Linked DNA regions of Mus musculus: all the other regions are reported to be linked to region 1. Evidence: microRNA targets listed by miRTarBase, many of them from high-throughput screens and not tested one by one. Region 1 holds a microRNA gene; each other region holds the end of a gene's coding sequence. Distances are from middle to middle.
What was found. Region 1 holds the annotated microRNA mmu-miR-340-5p (UUAUAAAGCAAUGAGACUGAUU, at 1,913-1,934, opposite strand). A microRNA usually pairs through its seed, bases 2 to 8, with sites in the 3' UTR of a target mRNA and lowers its output. Matches are read on the target gene's strand: a 7mer-m8 pairs with bases 2 to 8, a 7mer-A1 pairs with bases 2 to 7 and ends in A, and an 8mer does both.

Region 1 (4,000 bases):
ACATTTTCTTTCATTTCTTTTTCTTTTTAAAACTGAGATAGAATATGGCCTGGAACGCCTGCGTAGTCCAACTGGCCTCAAAACCCCGAGTGCAGGTATTACAGGGTACAGCACCATACTTGGCATGTTTTTATCTTGTTGTTGTTGGTCTTGTTTTTAAATATATGACATAAACAAGTATTATCACAAGATCCTCATGGATTACGGCTGGCTAGAGTACTGGTTAGCTCACCTGGTTCCTGTCCCGAGCATTTGTGTACCTGATCTTCTGAATGAAGTAGAATATGAGCCACGCTGAAGAAATAATCATCAAAACAATAAAGGAGATTGACACGAAGACTAGAGAGCCACGGCTGAAGTTCTTTGGCGGCATTCGAGTTCCAACAGCTATTGTCATTTGTACAGAGATGTTTTTCTCCAGATAACTCAAAATATCCTTACCCCTCAATTCTGTTATCATGACAGCAATAATATCTCCCGTGCCTGTAATGTAAAACAAATACACAGACTAAAGTGACATCTGAAATTCATAGACACATCAAATAAATATACACATATGCTCCATAGAGAAATTACCATAATTTTCACTAAGGTTTATAGATTCCAGTTCAACTGACATGAGGCTGCAGCTGTGTAAACTGACAGGCATGAGAACATGTACAGTGCTCCAAACAGGTAACGCATAAAGCAACTGTGGTGTTAACAATGCACAAACTGCCTTACCGGTGCATTAGAAGCACTGTGAAAGCAGCCACCTGTGACTAAATCAGGTTAAGTCTTCAGTAGAAAACCTTTCTATAGCAATCAATCTGGAAAGTTCTGACAGAGAAGCACTGTCATTTACAGTCTGAACAGGTGGTCCTTGCACTACTCATCCTCACACGCACTGCTGAGCAAGGACTGCTCTAAGAAACAGAAAGAAGGGTACTTCTTAGGGCACACACTTGGCTATGGAGTGACAAGTGCCGAACGGCAACATCTTTTACCAACAACCTTTGAAACTAACTTTGGTCTTCTGTCTACAGTAAAGCTCCTTCCAGGGCACTTCTGGAGCTCAAACGCAACAATTTTCCCACCCAGTTTGGAGCCAGCATCTCACATTGCCTCGGCTAGCCTCAGACTTGAGTTTTATGTTAGTTTTCCACCTTGTTTAACCATGCCCAGCGCACTCAAATCCTCTAGGCAGGCCCAAGTTTCAACTTTCTGGACTACTACCCATAATGATACCTAAAACCTTCAGTTCCTAAAAGCTGTTCAGAGTTCTGCCCACAGGCACAACTTTTATAAGTTAATTACAAGGATGGTTCAGTTGTGTTTTCAAGTCCTTTTCTCACATGGCTTCAAGGGCCTGTTTTAAGTCAGAGTGAGCAGCTACTCACCAAGGTCACTTTTGTGAGTATGAAGGAGGATTGTGCATCCAAACACAAAATACCCTCTCAAAACAGCAAGCAGAGACCCCAGACCTGACCTTTTGAAGGCTCTGTCAACAAATATTAGAAACACTTGTTTTGATTTCTTGTTACCTTTAGCAGTCAAGATGAGACACAACAGAAACTCAGTAACAGAAGTTTTGAAAAAAATATAGCTCAATGGAATATATATTTGCATAATACTGTATTCAAAACGGTTTATTCACTTTATTAGAGTAGTAGTTTACCAGTTTATTTTTGCTTAAAAAATCTATAAACAAAAAGGAGACAACAAAATTAAAACTAGCATTATTAAGTTAACATCTGCCTCTGGTGAGTGAGTTAAAAAGAATCATAAAAGAATGCTAAACCAGTTTAAATTTCCATTTAGAAACCTTAAGTTTGTGCTTTTACAATGTTGATCAACAGGCATGATCTGTGGTGTTAAGATACCAGGTATGGCTATAAAGTAACTGAGACGGATCCCACAAACGACATATGACAATCAGTCTCATTGCTTTATAATCACACCAAGTACAATTGGTTTTAGAAATCAGTTCTGAGGCTCCCTCTTGAAGACTCAAGCTGGAAGTGGGGAGAGCTGCACAGGTAGCCAAGGCAACCAATCCAGTAATTTCCTTAACCGAACACTAAATGGGCGCGTCAACTAATCTCAACAGGAAGCTGTTTGGGAAAGAAAAATTTAATTAGTTCAACACTTGTCAATATTCACTGTTAGGAGGACAAGAGTGAATAGATCTCACTGTAGCTTTATCATCCTAGCAAAAAGAGGAGACTGGGCAATGTTGCCAAAGGAGACTGAAAATGATCAAATAAAAAAGTACAGCAGCACATCTGATATTAGTGAAGGCAGTGATCTCTTACAGAAGGTGATGAAGCAAACTACAAACCCTCCTAGGAAAAAAGTTTCTTTCTCCCCAACATCTAGAGCTGGGCTGGGTTCAAAGAGCCTAACAAGATGGCTCAGACATTTACAAATGGGGATGGGACTAAAGAGATGGCTAAGAGCACTGGTTGATCTTGCAGAGGACGAGGTTTGGTTCCCAGCATCAATATGGCAGCTCATAACTACTGTAACTCCAATTCTAGAGGGAACAGACACTCTCTTCTGGCCTTCGAGGGCTCTGTACACATGGTGCACATAGACTCATGCAGGTATACACACACACACACACACACACACACACACAATAAAAAAGTAAATAAACCTTAAAAACAAAACAAAAAACTCTTGGGAGAGTTGGTGCAGATTCAGGAGGGATGATGACAACAGAGGAAACTTAACCCTCAGGATAAAACTAGGATTAGAGTAGCAGTAGCTGGTAGGAGAGAGGGGTTAATTAGACTGAAGTAATGGAAACATTAAACAGATACAAAGAATGTGACCAGATCACCCCTATGCCTGTGTTCTGAAACACCAAGACATGGCTTTGGAGTTCAACAATCATGCAGCTATGTGTTCCTTTTCTACTGCTGTGGTTAAACATCATAGCCAACATAACGTATACAAGGAGGGGCTTGTTTGGCTTATAGTTCCATCATGGTGGGGAAGAATGGCAGCAAACTGTAGGTAGGAACTGGATGCCAAGAACTCACACCTTTTTAAAAACACTGTTAATTTCAATTATGTGTTTATGTGTGTAGCTTTGTGCATGCAAGTTATAGTTGCCTGTGGAGACCAGGAGTCACAGACCCCCTGGAAGGGGGGATACGGGCAGTTGTGAGAGACCTGTTGTGGGTGCTGGGAATTGAACTCAGGTTCTCTCCATGAGCAGAAGAATGCCCTGGAAACCTCTGAGTCATCTCTCCAGTCTCACATCTTGAACCATAAGCACTAAGCTGAGAGAACAGCAGTAAATTTTGGGAATCTTTAAACTTTCAAAGCTGGACTCTACTAATACACTCCTCTTCCAACAAGGCCACACCTCCAACACATCCCCAAATGATACCATGCACCTGAGACCAAGTGTTCAAATACGGGCACCTATGGAAGATTTTCTCACTCACACCACCATAGCTAGTATTAATTCTTAGAGATGGCAGTGAAATAAAGAATATTATGAGTATTATTATAATCCCAGCACTCTGGAGGCAGAGGCAGGTAGATCTCTGTGAGTTGGAGGCTAGCCTGGTCTATAGAGCGAGTTCCAGGACAGTCAGGGCCACACAGAGAAACCGTGTCTTGAAAAACAACAACAACAAAAAGTTATTACTTAACCTCATGTTTATATGTATATGCGTGTGTATCTACCTGTCACTGACTCCCTGGAACTGGTGTTACAGGTGACTGTGAACTGTCCCATATGAGTTCTGAGAACCGAACTCTTTGAGAGAACAGTAAGCACTCACAACTACTGGACCATCTTGCTAGCCTGCCAATTTATTCTTTAATAGGAATTTATGTTGTTTTAGTAACTTAGCATGGCTACTTAAATTTGCAATTCTTCCCTGTAATTCTTCCCTTTTTATTCTGAGAATTTTCTTTTCTTTTTTTCTTCATAATTTACTTATTTTTATTCTATGTGTATTGGTATTATGCCTGCATATACAGACGTTCGTGTGTGAGAGTG
Region 2 (4,066 bases), not on the chromosome of region 1:
GTGCTTGATACATTGAAGACACTGTTCAAAAGCATTTTTTTTTTTGTCCTTATAAAAGGATGACCCCTGTAGTATTTCTTAGGCAAGGAGGGACAAAATTCAACCAACAAAAAGCATATTTCGCCCCAAGTTCCCCATGATTTCTCCACATATAGCAAAAAAATACACATCAGTTATTCGTTGGAACATGCACATTGGAGAGCAGTACAGTTCTGGGCTGCTCAGGAAACAAAAGGGAAGGGATCAGCATTACCTAAATAAAAGAGAGGTGACTTACACCCTTTCCATTGTCTTAAAAACACCAAGAAGAGGAGCAATTAAAATAGAGTCCTAAAGAGTGCTAGCTAATGTAGATTACATAAGTATACAATATGATTCTACTAACAGTGCTCTGAGAAGCATGAGCCAGCCACCAGTCTAGTAAACAGGGCCCTGATCCACTGCTGAGAAAATATTAGCTCCCAATGTAAGAAGTTACTTGAATGTATCTCAGTACTGAACGCAAACCAGGTGGTTTGGGTGGGCGGTGTTCTATAAAAGGCGGCTGTATTAAAGCAAGGAGGCCATTTCCTGTTGCGTGTTCTATACTTTTGGAATTCTCTGTTGGGCGTTTGCTTTCTCTACTTCCCCCCCCCTCCCCTGAGCACTAATTATCAAAAAAGATTTCAAGGTGCAAGTTGTACATTCTCATCGCAATAGCATCTCATCTCTTTCCGGAAGAGAGGATTACAGTCAGGTTCACAATGCTAATTCCTTATCTCTTCCCGTTTGCTTCGTGTACGCGTACTTCAAAATCATAGTGTTGATTAGGAAAAGAGACCTACAAACGAGAGCACGATGCAATCATCCACTTCTTATTGTGCTGTGTCTTTTCCATCCCGTCTCCCCTTTCCCTGTAAAGAGCTGTAAAAAATTTAAGGCAGATGAGGTATATTGCTGAAGGAAAAAGTTATTTCTTGAAAAGAAAACCCAAAAAAACCACTTTTATTCTGCCCTTCTACTCAAGAAAGACTACTCAACTATAAATCTATTACTAGAAAAAGCAGGAAAGACTCTGTCTGCATGTACCATACTGCGTCTTCTATTTCTAGAATGGCTTTTTTGTTAATTTAATTTTTAATAGAAAAAATAAGCACCTTAAGCTATGAACAAGAAAAGAACTTCATTATTAGTGAGTCCGGAATCCAAACGGAATTAGAGAACACTCGCTCAAGCTCGCACTCATTCGCACAAAGGCCAACGCTACTGATTAGAATTGTAAAGTGCTATACTGAGGTTAAACACTTTTGTATACACTGCAGACACTGAAAAATAACCCTCAAGCACATTGTGTTATAGTTCCAAAAATATATTTACAGTCTATTACAAAGATTACAAATGGAAGTGTCTAGGGTGACTGGATTATGCTAATTAAAACTATTTTTACAGATTATTTTTTTTCCTAAGGGACAAAAAACATTTTAGAGAAATTAAAATGAGTTTTCTACTCAATCAAAAAATAAATTAAAATATCAAATAACACTGTACAGTGATAAAAAGGAAAAAGAAGGATAGGGCGGGGCTTGGGACGCAATCCATTTGAGTTTTCTATAGCCATCTTTGGTCCTAAATGTGGGAAAACACAATAAGTAGCACTGAAAATACCTGTTTCTTTGTGAAGCTCTGCAAGTAAAATAGAAAAATATAGAGCATTTTCATGTCCTCGGAGCCACGACTGAGAAATGTGTATACAAAACAAGACGGTATAAATAAAATTTACAAGTTTTACAAAGGAACATTTACAGATTTTGCTTGTTACCTGTTCTTGTTTGTTTGTTTGTTTGTTTGATTGTTTGTGGATGTCCACATGACCAAACAACACCAATTAGGACCGATCCCTGGGATCTTTCTCTAGTAAAATCATTATAAACAGCCCAATTTTCTTTGGAAGTACAACAGTTCAGTTTTGGGGTAGTTCATGATTTTTGTAACTTTTGAAAACATTACTCAAATATGTATACATTCCTGAAATAGCTATAAAGACACATTTAATTATTGCTTATGAAATTCAAACACAGTAACCAAATAATATGGTCTGATAAATAAAGTGGAAACAGAAAAGCCAGACCCTTTACTTCTTCCTTCTGGGGTAAAAGAGTTTTGACCTAAAAGGGTTTGTGTGTGTGTGTGTGTGTGTGTGTGTGTGTGTGTGTGTGTCACTGTTCATAGATAAAATACCTCTGTGTTGCTTTCTTCTCACTGCATTGGTGGAAATATTTGCGGCTAGTTTGTCTGTGAGTGGTGAGAAGAGAATGGCCCCTGTGATCTTGCTTCAGAGTAACAATAGAAAACTGAATTCCTTACTTTTGTATTTGGACTGCATTCAACAAGAAAGAATACAAAATATAGGTCAACTATGTTCCTAAATTTCTTACTGTCACAAGACTGAAGCTCTTGATGTGCTCGGATTGGGTTAGCCAAAGCTGGAGAGCTTCGCTTCCAGTCTTGCTTTCACCAGCATCTTCAGACGAAGCTCAGCCTTTTATCATATACACATAAACCTAAAATTTGACATCTCTCTTTTTTTTTTATTAAATTCTGCCTAGTAAATCACTCTATAAACAATCTGTTAAAAGTGCCTTATAGTATTTATGGATCATTATTGCTTTCTTTTTTTTTTTTTTTTTCATTGAAAAGTTAGTATGTTGTCTGATTTTTACAAAGAAAAAAAAATCCTGTTAAAAAATATCAGAGCTCTTGGCAACTTGCAATTTTGAACTACCTGCCAATCAGCAAACAATATGAAAACATCACTGGTTTAACAAAATGACACAGCCAGGATACCAAAGCCATGAAGGACAAAGTCCCATCCTCGACTATGTGCGTAGTTTTGCTTTCCTTTAAGTTTGAGAGTCTTCAAAGGTACCCAGTGTAGTAACGTGTCATAAATTTAACACTAAAAAGGTCCAAAGCTACAAATAACTTTCTAAAACAAAGTCCTTAAGCAGAATAAACACAGATGGTTCTGGAAAAGAATAGTCTGAAATCACATATTTTAAGGAAAATATTTCATTGATTTTAACAATAAGATCATGATTTTTATTTGACAAATATATTCTTTCTTAAATTCTTTATGTACATTTTTAAAAAGTCTATAAGATAAAAAGGAGGTTCGAGAGCTCAAGGTGTTGGGATGTTTTTCAGGTAGTACTTTGTTTATTGTCTCTGCTGTGTTCCTGGCCACCAGTGGTGGATCCTAAATTCCCTTTTTGTATATTCTGGTGGCACTTAGGAGTTCAAGTCTGGAGGTGCTTCTAAAATCTTCTCTTTCTTGTAGGAAGGACCCAGTATATCAACTGTCTTCTAGCAGCATTCTATGCGTATACTGAAGGCCAGAACTGTTCTCCTGCAGTCTTAAGCCTCATCTGAGGGAGGCCGATGTGTCACACTTGGATGCCTGTTCCGTGTAAATGCAACATTTGTGCCCGCATAGTCTGGATGCTGCTCATGATCTTCTTTTGATGGCCAACCAGTGTGATCCCTAAACTCATCACATCACTGAAAAAGACAAGGGCACGCTTATCAGATCCATGACAAAGAACAGAACGTGCTCTGCGTGCTTCTTCACAGTCACTCACGCTTTCTACTACCTGTTGGCTGACGCACACTAACAGTACTCTTGGGTGCTATACAGTCTTACTCTAAAGAAGATGCTGACGTATTTGGACAGTCTCATTTGAAAATACTGGATGAACAAGTCTGTCTCGTAGTTTACCATACTGTTGCTTTTTAACTCATCCTAAGATTTTATTTTAAAAGGCAATGGAATGTTACCTGAAACACTGGGCATTGTAAATTATATAATTGGAAACATGGGATATTGTAATAGTGAAAATTGTTTTGGGAACCCAGGAGAAAGTTCAGGAAGTCAGTGTCACACAGAAATGTCCAGTGAGCTGGATTCTGGGAGTAATTCTGAGCATGAATTAGTAGAGATATAATTGCATTCCTTCAATTGAATAGCAAGAAGAAAACTGCTACATATATGTACAATGCTAGAGTCAAAGCTTAAATGTGCAGTGAGTTA
Region 3 (4,081 bases), not on the chromosome of region 1:
CTTTAAATGGTAACTATTGAGAAGTTCCTTTTGATAAGACGTTATTGTTTATTTACACCCAGTACTCTCACTTTAGGGCTAACATTTAATGTCCTCAAAGTAAAGGAACTTGAAGCTTACCTGCCTGTAAGAATGAGGGTCTCCCAAAAATCTTTACAAATACTGTTTCTGCTGTTCCATTAGAGCTGCAGTTAGGTAGCCCTGTGACTGCAGAGTAAGGATGGGAGGACCTTGGCGTATAGCTGTGAAGTAGGAACTGTGACACAGTGCTGTCTCTGGAACTGAGCCTCCTTTTCTTCCTACCAAGAAAGGAGGGCACCACATGAAATTTCCTGAAACTTAGTGCAGTGTTTCTCTGATTTACTGATTGCTTAAGTACTTAATGAAGGGCTGTCTTGTGGGTTTACAATAGATGAGTGGGAGGTTTCTATTCTGTCCTAGGACCATATTGGAGTAATATACTTAAGCTGCAGAATGATAGGGAGAAAGGTTCTAATTAGCTGAGTTTCCTTCATCAGCTACCGGTGTGCATCTTCCCATCGGGTGTAATGTCTGTTGTGTAATTTGTTTATAGGCAAGAACTAGTTGCAGAATTGGACCAGGATGAAAAGGACCAGCAAAATACATCTCGTCTGGTACAGGAACATAAAAAGCTTTTAGATGAAAACAAAAGCCTTTCTACTTATTACCAGCAATGCAAAAAACAACTAGAGGTCATCAGAAGCCAACAGCAGAAACGACAAGGCACTTCATGATTCTCTGGGACCGTTACGTTTTAAAATATGCAAAGACCTTTTTTTAAGAGAAGACAAACCATTATAACAGTTCATGAGTGTTAGCTTTTTGGCGTGTTCTGAATGCCAAATGCCTCTCTTTGCTGCATTTGTTATGTCAGTTACCTTTCTTCTTATGGTGGATATAAAATCCACTGTCGTGTTGCAGCAGATGATGGCACCTGTGGCTTGGGAAGGCGAGCGTGCTCAGCTTCAGAGCACATGAAGTGAACCTGGCTGTATGTGCATGCTCCTGGAGTGAGCTACCTAACAGGAGGGGGTAGCACACTGGCTACTGTGTGCAGGCATCATCCTTTCTCTGTAGTAAAAGGTGGGACCTCAAGAATTTTCTTCAAAGTGCTCATCTCAAAAATCTGATTTTTTTCCCAGTAGATGGTATGCTCCAATGTAAAGACAGGGTATTAAAATAACTTGTGGTACATTACAGAGGGACAGAATGTTGAGGCTGAGTTCAAAGACAGGGTTTGTGCCAACACATCCTGGATCAATACTAACTGTAGTCCCACCTGTTACTATTAAAGGTGAGTGGTGGCAGCTGTGCTTAAGGAGAGCAAGTTTACTGACTTTCGTGAGGTTGAGCATCGTCTGTGAAATATGAATGACATGCTCTTTTTACACCCTATGGATTTTCAATTCTGTGTGAAAACAGAAGCCTTTCTGACTTTTAATATTAGTAGCAGATGAAATTGAAAGATGATGATGTAGCTTAAATGATCCTTCTTGTAACCATTACTGAGTTGTTTTATGATATATTTGAAGAAAATTGAAAAATAATAGAGACACAAATCATTGGCCCAGCTAAAGGAGGCTTGAGCTGAGCTATCGGTCTGTTATACCAAATAAGGAACACAGCAGGCTAATCAGGAGGCCCGAGTAAGGAAGGCAAAGGAGGAAAATTAAACCCACTTTCGTAGCTACTCAGAGGACTTGATTCCTCTGAAGTCCTTTCCTGAGTCTGTTGCCTTCCCATGCTTTTAAGAGAATTTGAACACTTACAAAGAGAATATTTATATTGTTAACAATAAGTTTACTACCAACCTTCAAAATAACTTAAAGGTAATAATAAAATGCCATTAAAAAAATAAATCCCTAAGATCTATTTTTTCAGTCCATGTTAACACATTTTGATACCAGTGCATGAATGTCTTTTAAATTAGATGCCATCAGCTTCGCTTTTATAGTGTTCATGTTTGTAAAGAGAACATTTGGAATGGAAAGATGATCGCTGTGGTACTTAGATGTACATCTCGCATGTTCCTGCTCTGTTCCAGATGAGCACGAGAAGCTAGCGAAGGTGTTCTTTAAGGCTAAGACAGATAACCTTTTTCCTGTTATTTTTTTCCTCTCTGAGTTTTATAATGAATCCCTTCTGTATACAGTGAAGGTAAGGGAGAGTTTATAGCAAGATGTGCCTTCCTCAAAACCTGTTAGTAGAAAGCTCCTGGGAGCTAAATGTCTTCTTTCACTTAAATAAAAAAGATTATAGATAGCCTCAAACTCTATTAGGTGACATGAGTGCCGAGCTCAGCGTTAGTAGTGACATAAAACTGACACAGAAGATAGCTGTAGTCTGAGTCCAAGACCAACACCGCCTGCCACTGCTGCCTGTGCAGACATCTGGCACTCCACAGGAGAGCCATGGTCTCTGCTGTGCAGCATGCTGAAAGCATCTTGACTTCCCAGGAGATTCCACATTACATGGATGCAAGCTCATTTCTAGCCAGTTGTTTTGCAAGGTCTGCATCCTACAACTAAAAGGAAATTTTGTTGTCCTGGTCACTTGAAAGTATTCAAACAAGCAAATGGAAGAAAACACTGGATTTGCTCATGGTACCAGTGTTGAAAGATTGTTACTCGGTTGCTTGTGTATGCTCAGCTCCTTGGGGTTTCCGACACTGTGGTCCTGGACAGCCTTAAGTAGGTGCACTGGCACACTCACATGCATTTTTAAAGCTCCACTATCGCTGAACGTGAGCACACCATCCATACTTGAAATCCATACCAGTTTGCTCAATGTCTCAACCTGTAAAACCTTCAAATAACAACATACCAAGGAGCCAGATGGTCACTAATTCCTGTTCTACAATTTATTCAAGCCTCACTTCTTGGGTGAAGTAGAAAACAGGCAGACAGGTTTATACATTGATGTCCAAGAACCAGACAGTCCTGCACAGACACTAGTGGCATTTTGTTTCCATTTCCAGGAAAGGAAGCAAGGTTGTGCAATGTGGAGTGAAGTCCTCCTCAGCAGTAAAGCCATGCTCTAGGTTGAGTAAGTCAGTTAAGAGCACCATACTGCCATACTGAAAACATCTGCTTAGAGTTATTTACAAGTGGTTGGCTATTTTTTGTTGAAGTATTTTTTGAATAGCGAATGTCTTTTTCCTTCAAATTTCTGTCATTCTCCCAAGGCCCCCTCCTCCTGCAGCCAGAGATTACAGGTGGTTTTGTTTCTCCCTCCTTCCCTGTGTGTGTGTGTGTGTGTGTGTGTGTGTGTGTGTGTGTGTGTGTGTGTGTAGTCAACTCCTCTATTCACAAGCTAGTAAAGCTATCTACTTTTATTCCTGTCCAGGTATTTCTTGTAAGATGATATAATGCAGAAATTCTTGTGCATACTCTGTAACTGAAGGAGGCTTTTTTGATTTATTTTTGTCTTTAATAAAATTCAGATTGTTATTTCAGGCTGGTATGTAGGAATGGTAGCTGGCTTCTCTACACGACGACTGAGCTGTGGGTTTGCCCAGTGGTATTTACCTCATGCAGACCAATAGCTGAATCACCAGTTTCCTAGCATACTCAGTACAGTGTACCATAGTCATGCCAGAGACTGAATCATCGGACTGAGAGTCGGCTTAGCAGTTAAGAGCACTCATGTGGAGGACTAGGGTTCTGTTCCCAGCACCCGCATGGAGACTCCCAACTCTCTGCAACTCCAGTTCCGGGGTGGTCTGACTCCTTATGTTCCTGATGGTTCTTGTAAGCACATGGTGCATATATACTCAGACGAGCGTGCGCGCGCGCACACACACACACACACACACACACACACGTGAGAAAAAAAAAGTCCTCTTTATTTTTTCATGGGCCTTCATTTTTATGGAGTACAGCATAAAAGTGACTGACTTATCATTGCAAACTTCTTAATGTTTTTTCTAAGCTACAGTAACCATTTTGCTTTTATATCAAGTAACCCCCCCCCCCGCTTATAGATAACCACATATTTTTACTATCTATCCATTAGTTTCCTCGTTGCTTCAGTATTGATAAGCTACTGTTACTAATGACAA
Region 4 (4,081 bases), not on the chromosome of region 1:
ACCACTGGTCCTGGACCCAGTACCTATATTCCAATCTCATTTATTCTCTATATCTATTATCTATTCTCATCTATAGTTATAGAACATAAGCAAGGGAGCAAATAAATCGATGTAGATAATCCAAGATGTATTTTTGAACTGTTATGCATTATAACTGACGTATTTCGCTGACTGGCTCATAAACCTACTTTACAGATGAATATTAGAATAAACAGCAGGGTGGGAAGGGTGAAGAGAAAGCAGCTTGTGTAATCAGCTGTTACCCAGGGCCTTGTAAGAGAAACTGGCTCTACCTGCCAGCCCCTACCAGGCTCCTGGAGAGGCCAACATGGCAGGAATTGCAGTAACTGAAGAATGATCTGACCCAGAATTGAGACAAGGGCAGCCTTCCTGTAAGGGCAGGATTTAGTTTAGAAAGCCCCTGGCTTGCTGTGAGCTGTCCTGGCAAAAAGGTTGTGACCGGCCAAGCCTTGTGATCCACTGAACACATCCAATTTTGTGGCCTCTGGCTCCCCCTGCAGAAAGCGGGTGGCTACAAGCAGAACCCCTGTCTCCCCAGGTGCTGATTCTCCTGTACATCGCAGACTGGATGGTGCACTGGATGTGGGGCCGGGGCCTGGACCCCGACAACTTCTCCATCCCATACTTGACTGCTTTGGGGGACCTGCTTGGCACCGGACTCCTGGCACTCAGCTTCCATGTGCTCTGGCTCATTGGGGACAGAGACACAGATGTTGGGGACTAGCTTAGCCATTCAGTCTTTCCCCCACCCCTCTGCACTTTCTATTTGGATTTTTATTTTCCTTTTGTTTCCCTACCCCACCCTACACTACACTCCCATGCCTTTCTGGGATTTCACTTTGATACCAAATTCTCATTATTTTCAATGGGAATTTTTTATACATTGAGCCAAGTTTGGATAGGAAGAATTCGGGACAGACAGATGGGCTGACATAAGCAGTAAAAGTAGACTTTTGAGACAATCACCAAGTGCAATTCCACGGTGGGTGCCTCCAGAGGAGGTTAGATCGGGACCTTGGCATCCTGTCCAGCATCGGGGACCTTTGCATTAGCTTTAGCGACCTCAGCCTCGGCCCTAATGAGAAACTCTCAAGTGGGCTCTGGGTTGTTTAGGGTTTGGCTGAACAGAGGGAGGAGGGATAATTAACACTCCCACACATGCACGCACTTTTATAGATGTGGACCAACTTCACAGCACTGGGCAGGGGAACGTTGCTTCAACTCCTCGTAATCACAGGCCTGCTCCAGGCCAGCCTGCCCGCAGAGTCACGTGCACTGGAGATTCCATCTGCGCACATGTGCCTTGCCCAACTGCCTGATTGCTTCCCAGCTGAAATGAGTGGTAGTGACCCGGGCTCTTCACGGATCCATGTCATCCACAGGTTTCCAAAGGTCCATGTGCCCCCTGAGTCTAGAGAACCGAGTTCAAGCCTCCTCTCTTTAATTCTCTCCACACACTCCGTCTCCGCGCAGCTTGCCAGATGGGCTTCTAAGATTGGGGATAGGACAAGGGAATGTGCCAAATGACCTGGAGATTGAGGCAACGGGGAGGGGTGGGGGGTGTCTCACTGCCGTCTCTCATGACATAATCACGTGGTCAGTCTTGGCCTCTGTCACTTCCTAAACACACTCATTCTATCACACGAGGGCTCCGTTGGCCTTTCTCTCGGCTTCTGCCCACAGACATGCATCAACCATTCACTCATTCAGCAAATCTCAGCCTCCCCGAGATGAGCCCTTCCACAGCACCGGCCTGCAATAATTCTTCACTGAGCAGTCGTTACGGGGCGCATACTGTGCTAAGTTCAGTGCCTGGCATCAACCCACCAGTGCTAAGGGAATCGCTGCTCTAACCTCACCTCATCCCCTAGGCTACAGAGGCCATTGTGCCTCTTCAACCTGACAGTAAATGTTCCCTCGTTCGCCCCTAACTCTGCAGTGACTGCCAACCCCGTTGCTCAAGCAGCAGCATGTCCTCCAATACCCTCCTCCCGCAGCCTCTCTCCTCTCCACATCTTGCTACCCACTCAGAAGAGGGCTTGGAATTAGCAAGCTGGATATCAATAGGCTGCTTCAGTATCTGCCTCGTCCATGATTCAAAGAAAACCAAAGTCCCTTCCCTACACATGCCCCAAACTGTTCAACAAATGGGGTGCAGGCTGTACTTCTGGCCTGTCTGTCTGGAATCCATAAATTCTTCCCCCTGTGTAGCCTAAAGGGTCAGCCTCCAAGAAAAGGATTAAGCAGTGCTCCGTGTCTACCAACACTGTGCTTAGACCTAGAGACTCTTCTCGGCCTCATTTCCTCTGTCATCACCTGAAATCAGAACTGTCGAATTGGACAGATTCATAGAGATTGTCTAGTTGGGGTTGTGTCAGGCAGATCAGTGTGGATCTGAGTTTATTTCTGCTCTTCCCTCTGGCCTAACTCCATCTCAAAACACAAGACTCTTGCACAGGCATCATACCCTAAGACTGTGACCCCAGGGTCCCCAGCCACTTGCTCTATCCTGACATCTGGAGTTGGATCAGGCTGTCTGGAGACTGAAGCATCCTTCTTCCTTTGCCTAGAAAACAGAAAGGTAGGGGCGCCCAGGCTCAGCGCATGTGAGTGGAGGGGCCTGGAGTGACAGGAGAGTGACTTCAGGAGATTCATTTCTTCCCACCGGGTTGCACCTATTGCATGTACTTTTGGCCTGACTGGAAGAAACAAAATTGGTTTACTTTCATATCCTTCAAAAGTTACAGAACTGTGTCTTAAGAGAATTATTTATAGTTACTATAACTGAATTGACAAATGTCGACTTAACTGATAAATTATATTTGGTAAAATAAAATGGAAGTTTATTTCAATGGCTTGTATCCCTGTGTGTCTCATCAAAAAGCAGACTCAGCTATTTCCTTGGACCCTGTTCTGTGGTCCCGCCCCCACCTCAGAAATGGGAAGGGGTCGATGTGCCAAAAGTGAGGAACCATCTTAGAATATAATAGAAAACACATCAGACACAAGCAATGATGCTATGGGGCGGATGTTAAGGGTACAAAGTCCTTGTGTTAAAGGATATTAGACGGTGCTCTCCCCTCCCTGGCCCCCATGCATTACCTTGGTGCAGGTGATACCAGCATCTATGGGTTAGAATTCCTTCCTTGCAGAGGTTTATAGCTGAGTTGAGTCAGTGTAGAAATGCTTTTACCTTGAGTATTTACCATGTAACTGGCTGCAAAAGAATTGTACAATTTTATATGACCTTCCATGAATCATTAGCCCTTTCCTAACCTGAATTATACCCTGTTTATAGGGTAAGTGTAAGATGAGGCTCCAGTGATACATGCATACATACATACATTTATGCATACATACATACATACATACATACAATTCTGTTCCTGGTACATACTAAGCCCAAAAATACTATGAAATATTAAAAGTAGATTATGTTATTCAACCTTCCATTGCTGTAACAAAACACCAGAAATGCCTTATAAAAAGAGGAGGGGGCTGGAGACGTGGCTCAGGGGTTAAGACGCTTTGCTTTGCTGCTATTGTAGGGGATAACAGTGTGGTCCTCAGCACCCACATCAGGCAGCTTCCAACCTGATGCTCTGTTCTAGCCTCCATGGACACCTGCGCAGACAGGGGAGGTGCACATGCATGCACACACATGCGCATGCATACACACACTTTAAAAAATAGTTTTCAGTGCCTGGTTAATAGGCCCCACTGTTTCTCACTTGTGATGTAGATGTTGCCAAGGAACCCAGGGTAGGGCAGGTCGTACCTCGTGGCAGCCAGTAAATAGACAAGGGGGAATTTTGTTCCACAGCCCACTACAAAGCATATAGCTCCATGATCTAAAACAACCTCTTAGGCTCCACCTGTTAAATTTCCAGTACTTTCCAGTAGTGTCTAGCTGAGGGTCAAGTCTAATACATGGGCTTTTTAGGTAGACATCCCCTATCTAAACCCTATCAGTGGGAACAGTGCAGGCCTATGATGAGCAGTGTCCAGACACCACAGGGGAAGCTGAGAAAGGCCTCATGAATGGGGTTCATGGAAGCCT
Region 5 (4,081 bases), not on the chromosome of region 1:
CCTCCTGAGTGCTGGGATTAAAAGCGTGTGCCACCATTCCTAGCTCAAATTCTCAATTTTTAAAAAATAATTCTAGGGACTCGGGAGATGGCTCAGTATTTAAATATGAGAACTGGCTGCTCTTGCAGAAGACCCAAATTCAGTTCCCTGCACCCACGTGGTGGTCACAGCCATTGGTAACTCAAGTGCCAAGGATTCTGATGCCTTCTTACCCCACGGGTAACAGGCACAACTGGGTGTGCATGCATTTGAGAAAATACAAAATCCAGCACACGGGAGGCAGAGGCAAGCAGATCTCAGTGAGTTAAGGAACAGCAAGGCCTACATAGTAAGACCCGATCTCAAAAAATGTGTGTGTGTATATATATGATAGCATATAAACAAGTTTTCATAATTGTAAACTGTTGTTGCATACTTTGGGCTGTGTGTCGGCACTGAGACTGCGTGGGGGAGGAGGCCTACTAGACAAGCAGCTTGACCAAGTCGCATTCCCAGGAGTTTTGGTTTTGCTTGAGAGCTAGGTGACATGAGTTATATCAAATCCCTTTTACTAATTTTCTGTACCACATGACTTTTTTTTAAATGTTCTGAAGGCACGGAGCAGTAATGTAAAGACACAAGCTCTTTCTGGATACAGAGATAAGTTTAGTTTGGATATCACAGGGCCTGTCATGCCTCATGCATTGCATTCTATGAGCATGCTACTCCGATCTTCACAGAGAGGGTCCTTCTCTGCAGGACTGTATGCACACGAGCCAACTGCAGTTTTCAATGTTGGCCTGTCTCTGGATAAAGAACTGGACAGAGTAAGTAGACCAGTCATACCCTATATCCTCTTGCTGGGGTAAATGTCACTTGTGCCAAATTTATATCGTTTGAAAACAAGTTACAAATTAATATCCACATGGGCATAAGATAAATTTCATGAATTTAGGAAATGCTAAATATGAATTCCTGATTCCTTTGTAGTTTATGGAAACATGATTTACCCCAGCTATTTTTCCCGTTTCTCATGTCTGTGTACATAACTTGCAGTTCTGCATGTGTTTAAGAGCACCCGGGATTGAGCGAGCTCACACGGAGCTGCTCTTCTACCTCAGTCATCAGTGTAGTCTTTTCCTCAAGACCTGAATGTCTGAACGTGGCTAATCTTGCTAGCTGGTCTCTGTGTGCCACCTTCAGACTAATTACAAGTGCAAACCATGTCTGCCCAGCATTCTTGGGCATTCTAGATAGCCTCCAACTCTGGTTATCACACTTGTACAGCAAGTGTTTTAACACTAAACCATCTTCAAGCCTTAGTTACTAATTTATTTTGGATTGTCTTTTTAGACTTTTTTTTTTTAAAGATTTATTTATTATATGTAAATACACTGTAGCTGTCTTCAGACACACCAGAAGAGGGAGTCAGATCTTGTTACGGATGGTTGTGAGCCACCATGTGGTTGCTGGGATTTGAACTCTGGACCTTCGGAAGAGCAGTTGGATGCTCTTACCCACTGAGCCATCTCACCAGCCCTTTTTTAGACTTTTTAAAGATAGTTTACAGTCCTTTAATTGGCACAGTATTTATCAAGCCTAATAGACTAGTTAATTTAGGATTTTCATACTACAGAAATTATTAGGATTATCTTCTAGCTATGATTGACTGAGCCATTTATTGGCAAGTCTTTATGGGGATTATTAAAAACTTGGTGAACCAAGCAAGAGAGATGGGTCAGCAGTTAAGAACACTGACTGCTGCTCTTCCAGAGGTCCCGAGTTCAATTCCCAGCAACTACATGGTGGTTCATAACCATCTGTAATGGGATCTGACGCCCTCTTCTGGTGTGTTTGAAGACAGCTCTGGTGTACTTGTATAAATCTTTTAAAAACAACAAAACCTCGGAGTTCAAGAACTAATGTGCTTTATGGATGTGGACTTGTGTTTTCCCAGAAAGTTGCTCGTGAGGACCTTGCTAATTGTGGGCTGCATCCTAAAACCCTGGAGCAGCTCAGTCAGAGGCCAGTGCTGGGGAAGTCATCCCTGCGGAGTGTGGAAATGAGTGACTACATTTTAAGTTGGAGATCCTGAACACCAAAGTAAGCCTAAAAGGAGTCTGAGGAAAAAGCTTCCTAGCAAGGAAATGCAAGATGCGTAGGCCCCTGGCTTTTAAAGTTCATTCGGAAGAATATATTTTAAAATACTGAAATGTTCCTAAACATTTTTATATTAACTTATTACATGCAATAGCATTAGGTTTTAAATCAAGATTTTGCTTTTATTATTTTCATACATTTTCAGAGATGAAGATGCAAGGAGCTTCCTTAATACCTCAGATAATTCAAATAAGAGTTCTATCCCTGCAACTTATTGTTAACCTGAGTAGAAAAGTCAGTGTTTTATTACAATTGAGAAACAGACTACCTGTAGCAATTATTCCAATGGAGACTAAAGCATCCACATTGTACCTTAGACGAGCAGTGAGTTCTTTCAAGACGTAGGGAAATGAGCATTTTTACTAATGATTTCTAGTTCCTCTGCTCTCACGTATGTTCATCTTCTGTGTCAAGTCAGAGGGGAGGCTACTTTGTACTTCATCTAAGTGCTGGGCCCTCAGCCATGTCAACTTACTACTTAGTATGCTTACAGGTAATCTGTGTTTGCATGTGTGTATAAAATTCAGTATTTTTAAATAAACGTGCATAGAAATCACAAGAATTGGGTAAGAAACAAATAGTGCTTAGTTATATGTGTTCCATAAAAGCCAGAGAATAAGACACAACATTTATTCCAGAGAAGTTTGTATTTGGGCCTTAAGCTTTTGAAAATAAAGTTTAGAGACATAGCATATGAATACCACTGTAATACACATGAATATTCTATCAGACCCTAAAAAATTAACATAAACTTCCTCAGTCAACAAAATAGCGGCTGGGTGCCAATTTTTATTAGATAAGTCGGTTACAGCATTTTTATTTACGTCTATCTAGGTGTAGCTGAAATTCAAAATGCACATCAAAGTAAAACTATATCACAACTGAAGCCATACTAATATGTACTTGGCCTCTGAAGTTGGACTTCCATTTTGACTTCCTTCTTATGACCCAAGTCAAGTGGCTTTAATGGGAATGCAGGACTTAGTACTGATCATGACACAATGTATCACTTTCTTTTCATAATCTCTACAAAAAGGGGGAGATGGTGGCATAGCCCTGTGGAACAGATCTTGCTTCATTGCCTTAATAACACTGGCCCAGTATCTGTCCAGCAGAACCCATTGTGAAATAGTACAAGGTGCACAGCCCTTCACTGATTACAGGCAAGTGTTACAGCAGCCTAGCCGTAAGGAAGGGAAGTTACATCATAGTACAAAATACAGTATAAAAGCGTTATTTAACATTCCACACTGAATATTACTGATGCCCTCAAACAATTGTTTGGATGTTAGCCACTTAAACAAATACATCACTAAGGTAAACAATATAAACATACCAAAACCCTGTATGGTTAAATACAATTTCCATGGTACAAAAACGAAAGCCTGGAGATGTTTGTACAGATTGCTTTTTACACAATGTCTTAAATTGTGAAATATTTACAACATTAAGGAGGAAATACATTGTGATGCAGAGTAAAATTATCTGAATGATTAATATAAAACCTCAATCTATCTACGTGAGGCACTCCTGAAGCAAGTGGCATTAGCCATGAGGTCCTTTGGTACAAGGCCCATTGCTTGAAGAACCACAGTTGCTGCTGTGGCTTTAGCATGCTTCTTATTAGGGCTGGCAAAGCTGGGCTGGTAAGCGCTTCCATTTATCAATACCTATTCAAGAAAAACATACAATTGGGCTGGTAAGGGCTTCCATTTCTCAATACCTATTCAAGAAAAACATACAATAAGAACAGCATCAAACTTTAATATCTATTAGCTTTGTAATTTTTTACTAAATTCTAAAAATAACTATAAATTACAAACCCCACATTATAGAAATTAATCTCAGCCCAGAAGCAACAAATGATTTTAAAAAGGAAACTGCAAAATAAATGCAAGCCTCCATACTATTTTTAAAAGCCCTAATAAAAGTATCCCCACAT
Region 6 (4,081 bases), not on the chromosome of region 1:
CGCTGGCTTGGAAGCCACAGGAGATTACCCATTGCCATCCCTACCTCCCACCCACAGGGTAGCCCAATCCTAATTCAGCAGGGAGACAGAACAACAGAGTTGCAGTGAGAGAAGTGTAAACAGGAGAGGTCATCTGGGTCTCCCACAACCACCTTCTCCCCAACCACCACAAGGAACAATGGTACAGGAAGCTGGGGGTTGCTGCTCTCAGGCAGTTACGCAAACCAAGTTGGCACCCAGCAAGGCTTTTGTTCAGAGATTTTTTTTTTTTTAAGAGTCAACCCTCTTCAAAACAATTCAGTGTTTTCTCCCTTGGGAAAGCATGTGGCTGTTTTCAGTGAGATCATTCTAAAGAGGCAGATTCTGAGCCCATCCGCTGGGCTAGGACCACCATGCTAGTGAGTGGCTAGCAACTTGCTCAATGGGAGCATGAATGGACTAAGGACTCCATATATTAAAAAAAAAATCCCAACTTAAAATAGTCTTCTAGACCTCATTTTTAATAGAGTCCCTGTCCATTCAGAGACTCTCATAAATAACCCCACAATTAATGGCATGTATTTATCTGCAAAGCCACTTACTTGAAATATACAGGGGTTGAGTTCTCTCTGGGCATTAAGTTTGTTTATGAGAAAAAAACTTTGATCCAAGAATAAAAATAGAGCAGTGGGATTCAAGTAAATTTACCCTGCTCTCTCCAGGAGTCTAGGTTTAACCCATCTTTGGATGAGTTCAATCTCAGGTGACAGAAATCTATCTTCACAAGCAGCTCACAATTAACTGTTGTTCCCTTCAGTGACACTCTGGGGAGATAAGCAAGGCTCTCATAAGTGGACCCTTTTGTTGGGTTTATTCTTGTGTGGGTTACTATCCAGAACACACGGTGTAATTCCTACCTACTCAGGTCAGTATGCAGAAATCTTAAGTCAGGTCTCATCACATCCTACATGAGACTTCTCAGTTATTCTCCAGTGCACAGGGAACGGGATCAAGACACCTTGTATCAGAACTCCTTTGGAACCTGGCCTGTTCCCTGCCTACCTAGATGCCACTGTGTACGTTCAGGGGCATCCTTTTCAGATTGTCATAAGCCTTCAGATCTGAGACTTTTCCTACCATCTGTAGTTCTTTCCAGTCTCTGTTTTCCTGGAGGCCACTTCTTCTCATCCTCCTAATCTAAACTAGAATGTTCTCTCCGAGGTCATTTCCTTTCCACAGCCTTGACACTCACTCCCCTTGCAAGTGTGCCACTTTAACACCTTAAATAGTATCTTCCACTCACTTAAAAAATAAGTTTTATGGGGTCAGGAACCATGTAGGTTTTTATTCACTGTTTTATCCCTACTGACCTGTGTAAGTGCTGGATAAGATGTTTATTACCAAACGACCAAATACAGAATGGATGAAGAACCGAATTCATGCTCATTTCTGCACTACTGGTTCTCTATTCCAAACTCCAAGACCACTTACCACTCACACCTCATCCTCGCCCAGTCCATAAAAATCTTCCCCAGCCTTCCTGTTTGTGAAGGAAGGCATACAACACAAGGCATACCACGTAGCAGAGACATGCCTGCAACCATGAGTACCCAATAAACAGAGGCTAACTAAATTTGGTAAGCGCACAGACACTTCTTCCTTCCAAGGTAGACTTGGAGCCCTGCTTCTCAGATGTCACTGTTCCTCTATCATCTCTGAATGTTCACACACTCCTGGCATCAGCTTTTGATGTCATGTTGGTTTTCCTCACTTGACACGGTTCCTTCCTTTTTTCTTAAATTAGTGCAATTTAAAGGAATATTTATAAAAATTGAAAAACTCATTTCATCTACTGAAGGTCCAGTTGTGATTATCACAACAGTGATAGATTTAAACAGAAATAGATTTAAAAGGACCAATTGTGATGACCACCACAGGGGAAATAAAGCCATATGCTTCTATTTAATTAAAAAAAAAAATAAGACCAGCAGTTGTTGGCAATGTGACAGTATTATTGTCGATGTTAACAAGACAACTTCATCTTTCTCCACGATTTGATTAACAATATTTAATGACCTCTTGGCTTTGCTCATCAACTATGTACCGTACATAGTTGATGTATATCTATGTGGTTGTACAGTACCATAACTATGTGCTTTGAAATAACCCACAACCCATCCATGCTCTTCTGACATTGCATGGTGACCTTATGCCCTTGGCAATTCTCTGCCTTGGTCGGTTGCCTACACATGTTTACATCTAGAACTCAATTCAACTTACTTTTTTCTCTTTACATTCTCTATAATTGCTGGGTGAGTTTGTTTGTTTGTTTGTTTGTTTATTTATTTATTTATTTTATATGAGTGTTCTGCCTTCACACACATCAGAAGAAGGAACCAGATCCCATTGCAGATAGCTGTGAGCCACCGTGTGGGTGCTGGGAATTGGACTCAGGACGGCTGGAAGAGCAGTCAGTGCTCTTAACGGAGAGTCATTGCTCTAGCCCCTAGGTGGATGTTTTGAATAGAATATATGATTAATAAAGTTTTTATTCTTGTAGGTCTGGGAGTTGAACACTGTCTTGCACATGTTCCATCAACTACATCCTTAACTCCATAAAACAATTGAGGTTGAATCTACTATGGAGAATTTTGAACTGAATCAATCAAGAGACCTTTTTTTTTTTTTTTTTCAAAGTTGAAATATCTTACTAAACAATTATGTTTTCCCCGGCCCTGGTTTGTTTTAACTCTGCCCTTCTGACTTCCCGTATGCATGTACCTATACCATCATCTAGTCAAATATCAAGGAAGCAGCTGGGAAGAGGACCCAATGCAAGAGAATCGGGGCCCTCTTGCGCATGCACACACCTGAGGGAAAGCTCCAGATCTGCAAAAGAAACAAAGGCCAGACAGAACCAGGGAAAATCTGAATGTGTGATTTATTATATTTAAGATTGGTCTATAAGGCTTAAATATGTCTGTCAAAGTTAACCGCAGATGAATGCACCTTTACAAAATCAGTCTTTCAATACAGAACAGGACTACACGTGGTGACTGGGCACTGGGAACCTAGTATTTCCTCAATGCACATATTCAACTGGCAGCACCATGTAGAAGCTTCTACTTGGATCACGAGCTTCAGTGTTCACTATAAACTCTGCTCAGAACACAACTCTGTCTACATCAAGAATTAAAGGAGAAAAACAGCACAGTCATTCAGGCTTAATATGTCAGATTTGGTACAGGATTAAAATACTAAGTGGTTTTTTTTTTTCATTTGTTTCTTTGTTTGTTTATGTCCTGGTTTCAAATTAATAAATACAAACACCATATAAAAATATACACCAGTTGCTAAGACTACACTGCCCAGGCCCAGGAAGTTAAATCTCGCTCTCATATGTATGCAGGTATGTCTTGAGGGTCAGAATTTCCGAATAGCTACGGCTAGTCTTCCGGTAGAAATCCAAACCGGTGAGATGCTCGATGTCCCTCACCCGAGCTGTGTGCATCTTCATGAGTTCCTCTACCCACTTCGACTCATCCTCGGAACTCTGCAAGGGAAGGGAAGCAATCAGGTTTTTCTAGACAAGGTTAGACTAGGTCATTTTCTGCACACACACCCAAGCATATTGTTCCCACCAGACCCTCGTATCTCTACTGAATTCTGTCAGGAATGTACCACAAATACCCCTCCTTGCCTGTAGACATTCTCACAGTGATAAAGTGTACCAAACAAATGAGAAATGTAGTGTGAAAAGGTGTTCTTCTCACTGGTTTCTCAGAACACAAATCAAAATGGGGAAAAAAATCATTGACCCTCAGAATCTGATCTGGTTGCTTTTCTTCTCAGCCATCAAATGAAGGATTGGATTCAGCACACCCTGGAATGCTCTTCTATCTCACAAAATAGGCAGAGACCTAGTGCCTAGCATAGGAAACTACATGTGTATTCCTGTTCAGAAGAGCTATCACACCCATCAGTTATCTGGGAGATAGTCAGTGACTATCTGATAATGAATGTTCAGCTTGAAACAGGTCAGTTGATACACTGGGCTCTCTGCGGCCCAAAAGGTCTGAGTTGGAAAAGAGATGCCACTGTT
Region 7 (4,081 bases), 18 Mb from region 1:
CTCAACACGTCAGGAAGTCAGGGACTCAGCCTTCAAGCCTTCAGGATCACATCAGCACCCAGCCCTTAGCATCATGGCAAGCATCATGGCAGAATCACACCAGGCATTCAGTAAGGTCAGGACCTCAGGACCACTTCATGCCCTCCACATCACGAGGGACCTCAGTTCATGTTAGAATCTTGGGTTCATGTCATATCCTCCAAACCATGTCAGGACGTCTGTGATATCATGTCAAACCTGAGTATCGTGACAGGGCCTTGGCATTATGTGAGACCTTAGCAATATATCAGGCAATCTGAATCAGGCCAGGACCTCATAATTATGCCATTATCTCTGCATCATGTGAGGTCCTAAGCATCACAAGATGTCCTCACTAGGATGGGACCTCAGCAACATTTCTGGATGTGAGCACATTGTCAGATCCTTAGCAACAAGTCCTGACCTCAGCATCTGCATTATCACATGAGTTCCTGAGCATTATGGAATGAAACCAACATTATTCATTCCCTCTGCATCTGCTATTTCTTCAGTATCATGTAACATCTCATGTCACCTCACGAACATCTCATGTCATGTCAGTACCAGATTCATCTATCAGAACCACAGGATTCATCTATCACCACCAGAACCTCAGCATTGTGTCTGTCACTCGGATTACATTAGGTCCTCAGCCTCATGTAATGCCCTCAGAAAAATAGCACGAGTCTAATGTCATGTCAGAGCCTATTTAGCATACCATGCCCTAAGTGTCATGGCAGGGGGGTCAGCATCAGAGGAGGTCTTCAGCCTTGTGTCCAGACCTTGACATCTTGTCAGTACCTGCATCATGAATGGATCTCCAGTATCATGTTATGTCTTCTCTGTCATGTCTGGACCTCTGTGTCATGTTAGACATTCAATATTGTCATGTTTAGAGCTCAGCGCCATGTCAGGACCTTGTTTTAATATCCTACGAGGACTTCAGAATAGCGCTGTGACTTCAGCATCATGTTGGGACCTCAATGTCACATGCCACTCAGCATCAAGGCAGGCCTGCAAGCAGCATTTTAGAAACTGAATATCATATGCAGGTGCTCAGCACCAGCTGAGAACCACAATATGTGATCAGGTAGTAAAATACAGGGTCACCATGGTGGTCCCTTAACCGGCATGTCAGTGCCTTGCTATGATGTCAGGACCATGACGCAGGGCCAGCATTATGTAAGGCCCTTAGTTAGCATCCTGTCTGTCAGACCTTCTGCACCATGAGGATCTCAGCATCTTATCAAATGCTCAGCATCATGTAATGCCCACGGTATTATGTCAGGCCTTCTGAATCAATCATAACAGCAGCAGCATATCATAACCTCAGCATTGCAGGCCTCTTGGTATAACATACTTCATGTCATATCATGATACTTCATATATCATATCATAGGGTCCTTCGGCATCCTATTAGCTCCTTAGTGGCATATCTTGACCTCTTTACCACATGAGGCTCTGGTGTCACGTGACATTCTCAGGATCATGAGTAGTCCTTAAGATTTTGTAGGGCTTCAGGATCTTGCCCAGGGCTCCGCATCGTGCCAGGACTTTAGCAGTGTATCAGGCTATACTTACTTTAAGATAGAGACCCCCCCCCACACACACTATCCCAGTTTCTCCTCCCACGTCATAGGGCACTCTGCTCCTGGACTTACCAATCCCACCTCCTGTGCCCCTAGCATTCCCATGAGGTTCACTGAGCAGAAGGTCAAGCCGTCAAGGACAGATGGACAGACAGTCAGGACACTCAGACACATCTATGTTTATTTTTTTTTCCTGTCAGAAAATTTCAAGAATTACACCAAAAAATACTTCAGCCTCTGCTACCTACTGACAAAAATACACCACAAAATTATAAAGCGCTCTGTGGTTTTGCTAGGGAAGATTTGTTGATCCGTTTCAGATGACAAATGAATTTACAGGTGACTCAAGGTGATGGGAAGATGGGGGGAGGGAGGAGAAATCAGATGAGAGTATCTGGCAGGATGGTTTGAGATATACTATTCCTATTACCCAGCTGCTGTGTACAATAATTTCAGCAATATAGCAAGCCACAAAAAAATACCCTTAAACGGCCTATGCAGACCAAATGGGCAATTCCCCTGGCCAGTTCTCATTCTCTTGGACCTGGGGCCAGCACCTCCAAGAAAAGGGATTTCCTGGAATGCTCGCGAGAAGCAGGAGGCCCTTGCTAAAGTGCCAGTGAGAAGCCTAAGGATGTTGGCCACACCTCCCTGTCAGGTGCTTCTAGAACCTAGCTGGGAAGTCTGGACAACTCTGTCAACACAACACAGTGAGCAAACAGTCACCTTCTCCAGCTTCTTTTAGGAATGAGCACTGCCTGCCCAATCTTCAAGTTTCTTCCCGGCTGTCAGATTTCAACTAACTAGAATTCAATTGTCATTCCTGCTGTCATTAGCGCTTTGGGGAAAAAGCAAAACCCGGGTGAAACCGGGTGCCTATGCTTTTAGCTGGGTCCAGAGCGGCCCGCCTGACCTCTCTTCCTTTCTCTCCCTTCCCACCCCTGCCATCTTGAAAACACGGGCAGCATCTAGGGATACACCTAGAAAAACAAAAGAAAGACAACATCTATCCACGCCTGTGTTTGCTGAGGCACAACAGCCGCCCTGTGAGCATCGGAGCCTAGGTCCCCATGGGCTGCCCAGGGCTGAGCGTGGATGCCTCCCCCATGAGTTTGTGCAAATCTTGCAAGCTCACCATTGAGTGGTACTCTGTGCATTCCTAGTTGAGAAATGCCAACATCACCTTCCTCTCCAAATCAGCCTTGCCTGCCATCGCTGTGCTTCTCTCCTGCAGACCACAGGCAAACTGAACAGCCCACCCTTCGCCACGCAGTACTCGGACGCCCACACAGAAGCCATGGGGCCTTATCTAAGAAGTCCCAGACAGACTCTGCTCTTTACTGCCCTGCTGTGTCTTCCACGTGGAGCCCGTTTCATGCTTTTTAAATTCATTTTATCCGGCTCCCCTTTCTGTCTCTAAATTATCCTAACAAAGAATAAGCGGCGGCTTTGAAAATATCTTACATGGGAACAATCAACGCGAAACATGCCTTTGTACACGAGCCTGACTTGGGTACGAAGCAACAATACAAAAGAACAAAAGGAAAGATCGATTCAGACAACTCCAGTGCACAATATTTTTGGGGAGTGCTCCCCAGACCCCATCCTGCCCCGCCCCCACCCCGTACCCTAGCAGTACAGTATTGTCTTGTAGCTCCAGCCTTGCTTAACTAGTGGGGAGGGGGGTTTCCCTCTCCACCCACCCACCCCCATCCCAGCTGGGGCAGACCTCTAATGGCCCTGCGTCTTGGGTGGCTTGGGCTCATGGATGACAGCAGCTGCTGACAGCCATGGCCCGATGGCCCGGGCAGTGCTCTGCTTGGCCACACTGTAGTGGCTGATGACTGTGTAGAAGCGGCTCCTGGAGCTGGGGTCCTGGGACGAGTAGTAAGCATCCAGCGAGGCCGGGATACAGCGCTTGTGCTGGGGAAGAAAGAGATAAGAGTCAGGAGTAGCCGGGTGGGCTGCTGGCACCCACGGGGACGCTGATGGCCTGTGCAGGGACTTCAGTTCCATCAAGTACCCCACAGGGGACTCTTCTCCTGCACCTGGCCACAGTAGACCTTCCCCAAGATTATACCATCACCATCTTCAGAGGAGAGGAAATATACCTACTGTTGGTACTGAGGTAAGACCAGACACATAGGCTTGATGGCCATACGACACTGCTCTTGGTAGCATGACATCAGGTCCCCAGTGGCTGTCTGGGCCATTGTCCACAGATAATGACAATTTCATGTCCTTTGTTTTATATATGTATTTGTTTTTTTTAGTAAAGTTATTGGTTCCTAACATTAATATGTATTTCCTTATGTATTTATCTGCATTATCATAGTATATATATATATATGATAATCATAAAATATCGCTAGTTTTAGCACTCAGAGTGAAGGTGTATTAAATGAGTGTTGCTGCCTCTTAGTGTGCTTAGGCTATAAATGTCCTCTGTTTATAAGGGATTGACTTAGGCGTTT

Region 2: miRTarBase lists Epha7 as a target of mmu-miR-340-5p. Seed matches in the 3' UTR shown: 7mer-m8 at 2,015-2,021, 7mer-A1 at 1,903-1,909 and 7mer-A1 at 50-56.
Region 3: miRTarBase lists Map3k7 as a target of mmu-miR-340-5p. Seed matches in the 3' UTR shown: 7mer-A1 at 2,147-2,153.
Region 4: miRTarBase lists Slc41a1 as a target of mmu-miR-340-5p. The part of its 3' UTR that is shown has no 7-base or 8-base seed match.
Region 5: the mRNA of Son is a reported target of mmu-miR-340-5p. The part of its 3' UTR that is shown has no 7-base or 8-base seed match.
Region 6: the mRNA of Enpp2 is a reported target of mmu-miR-340-5p. The part of its 3' UTR that is shown has no 7-base or 8-base seed match.
Region 7: the mRNA of Nsg2 is a reported target of mmu-miR-340-5p. Seed matches in the 3' UTR shown: 8mer at 1,877-1,884.

What each region holds. Positions count from the first base shown.
Region 1 is chr11:50,067,654-50,071,653 of GRCm38, reverse strand. It overlaps Mir340 (microRNA 340), which reads right to left and starts at 1,952; the gene lies at 1,855-1,952. It overlaps Rnf130 (ring finger protein 130), which reads right to left. Exons shown (of 9, transcript NM_021540.4): 3 at 233-483.
Region 2 is chr4:28,963,360-28,967,425 of GRCm38, reverse strand. Epha7 (Eph receptor A7) reads right to left here. Exons shown (of 17, transcript NM_010141.4): 17 at 1-3,537. The coding sequence ends at 3,423. Among named protein-coding and RNA genes, the nearest start is that of Gm11917, 100 kb to the left of the region's middle.
Region 3 is chr4:32,018,927-32,023,007 of GRCm38, forward strand. Map3k7 (mitogen-activated protein kinase kinase kinase 7) reads left to right here. Exons shown (of 16, transcript NM_172688.3): 16 at 575-4,081. The coding sequence ends at 755. Among named protein-coding and RNA genes, the nearest start is that of Map3k7, 57 kb to the left of the region's middle.
Region 4 is chr1:131,845,991-131,850,071 of GRCm38, forward strand. It overlaps Slc41a1 (solute carrier family 41, member 1), which reads left to right. Exons shown (of 11, transcript NM_173865.3): 11 at 560-2,873. The coding sequence ends at 745. Among named protein-coding and RNA genes, the nearest start is that of Rab29, 19 kb to the right of the region's middle.
Region 5 is chr16:91,677,882-91,681,962 of GRCm38, reverse strand. Son (Son DNA binding protein) reads right to left here. Exons shown (of 12, transcript NM_178880.4): 12 at 2,771-3,862. The coding sequence ends at 3,803. Donson (downstream neighbor of SON) reads left to right here. Exons shown (of 10, transcript NM_021720.1): 9 at 594-806; 10 at 1,937-2,698. The coding sequence ends at 2,074. Among named protein-coding and RNA genes, the nearest start is that of Donson, 8.8 kb to the left of the region's middle.
Region 6 is chr15:54,836,005-54,840,085 of GRCm38, forward strand. It overlaps Enpp2 (ectonucleotide pyrophosphatase/phosphodiesterase 2), which reads right to left. Exons shown (of 25, transcript NM_015744.4): 25 at 2,897-3,532. The coding sequence ends at 3,362. Among named protein-coding and RNA genes, the nearest start is that of Enpp2, 82 kb to the right of the region's middle.
Region 7 is chr11:32,056,892-32,060,972 of GRCm38, reverse strand. Nsg2 (neuron specific gene family member 2) reads right to left here. Exons shown (of 5, transcript NM_008741.4): 5 at 1,762-3,530. The coding sequence ends at 3,339. Among named protein-coding and RNA genes, the nearest start is that of Gm12108, 42 kb to the left of the region's middle.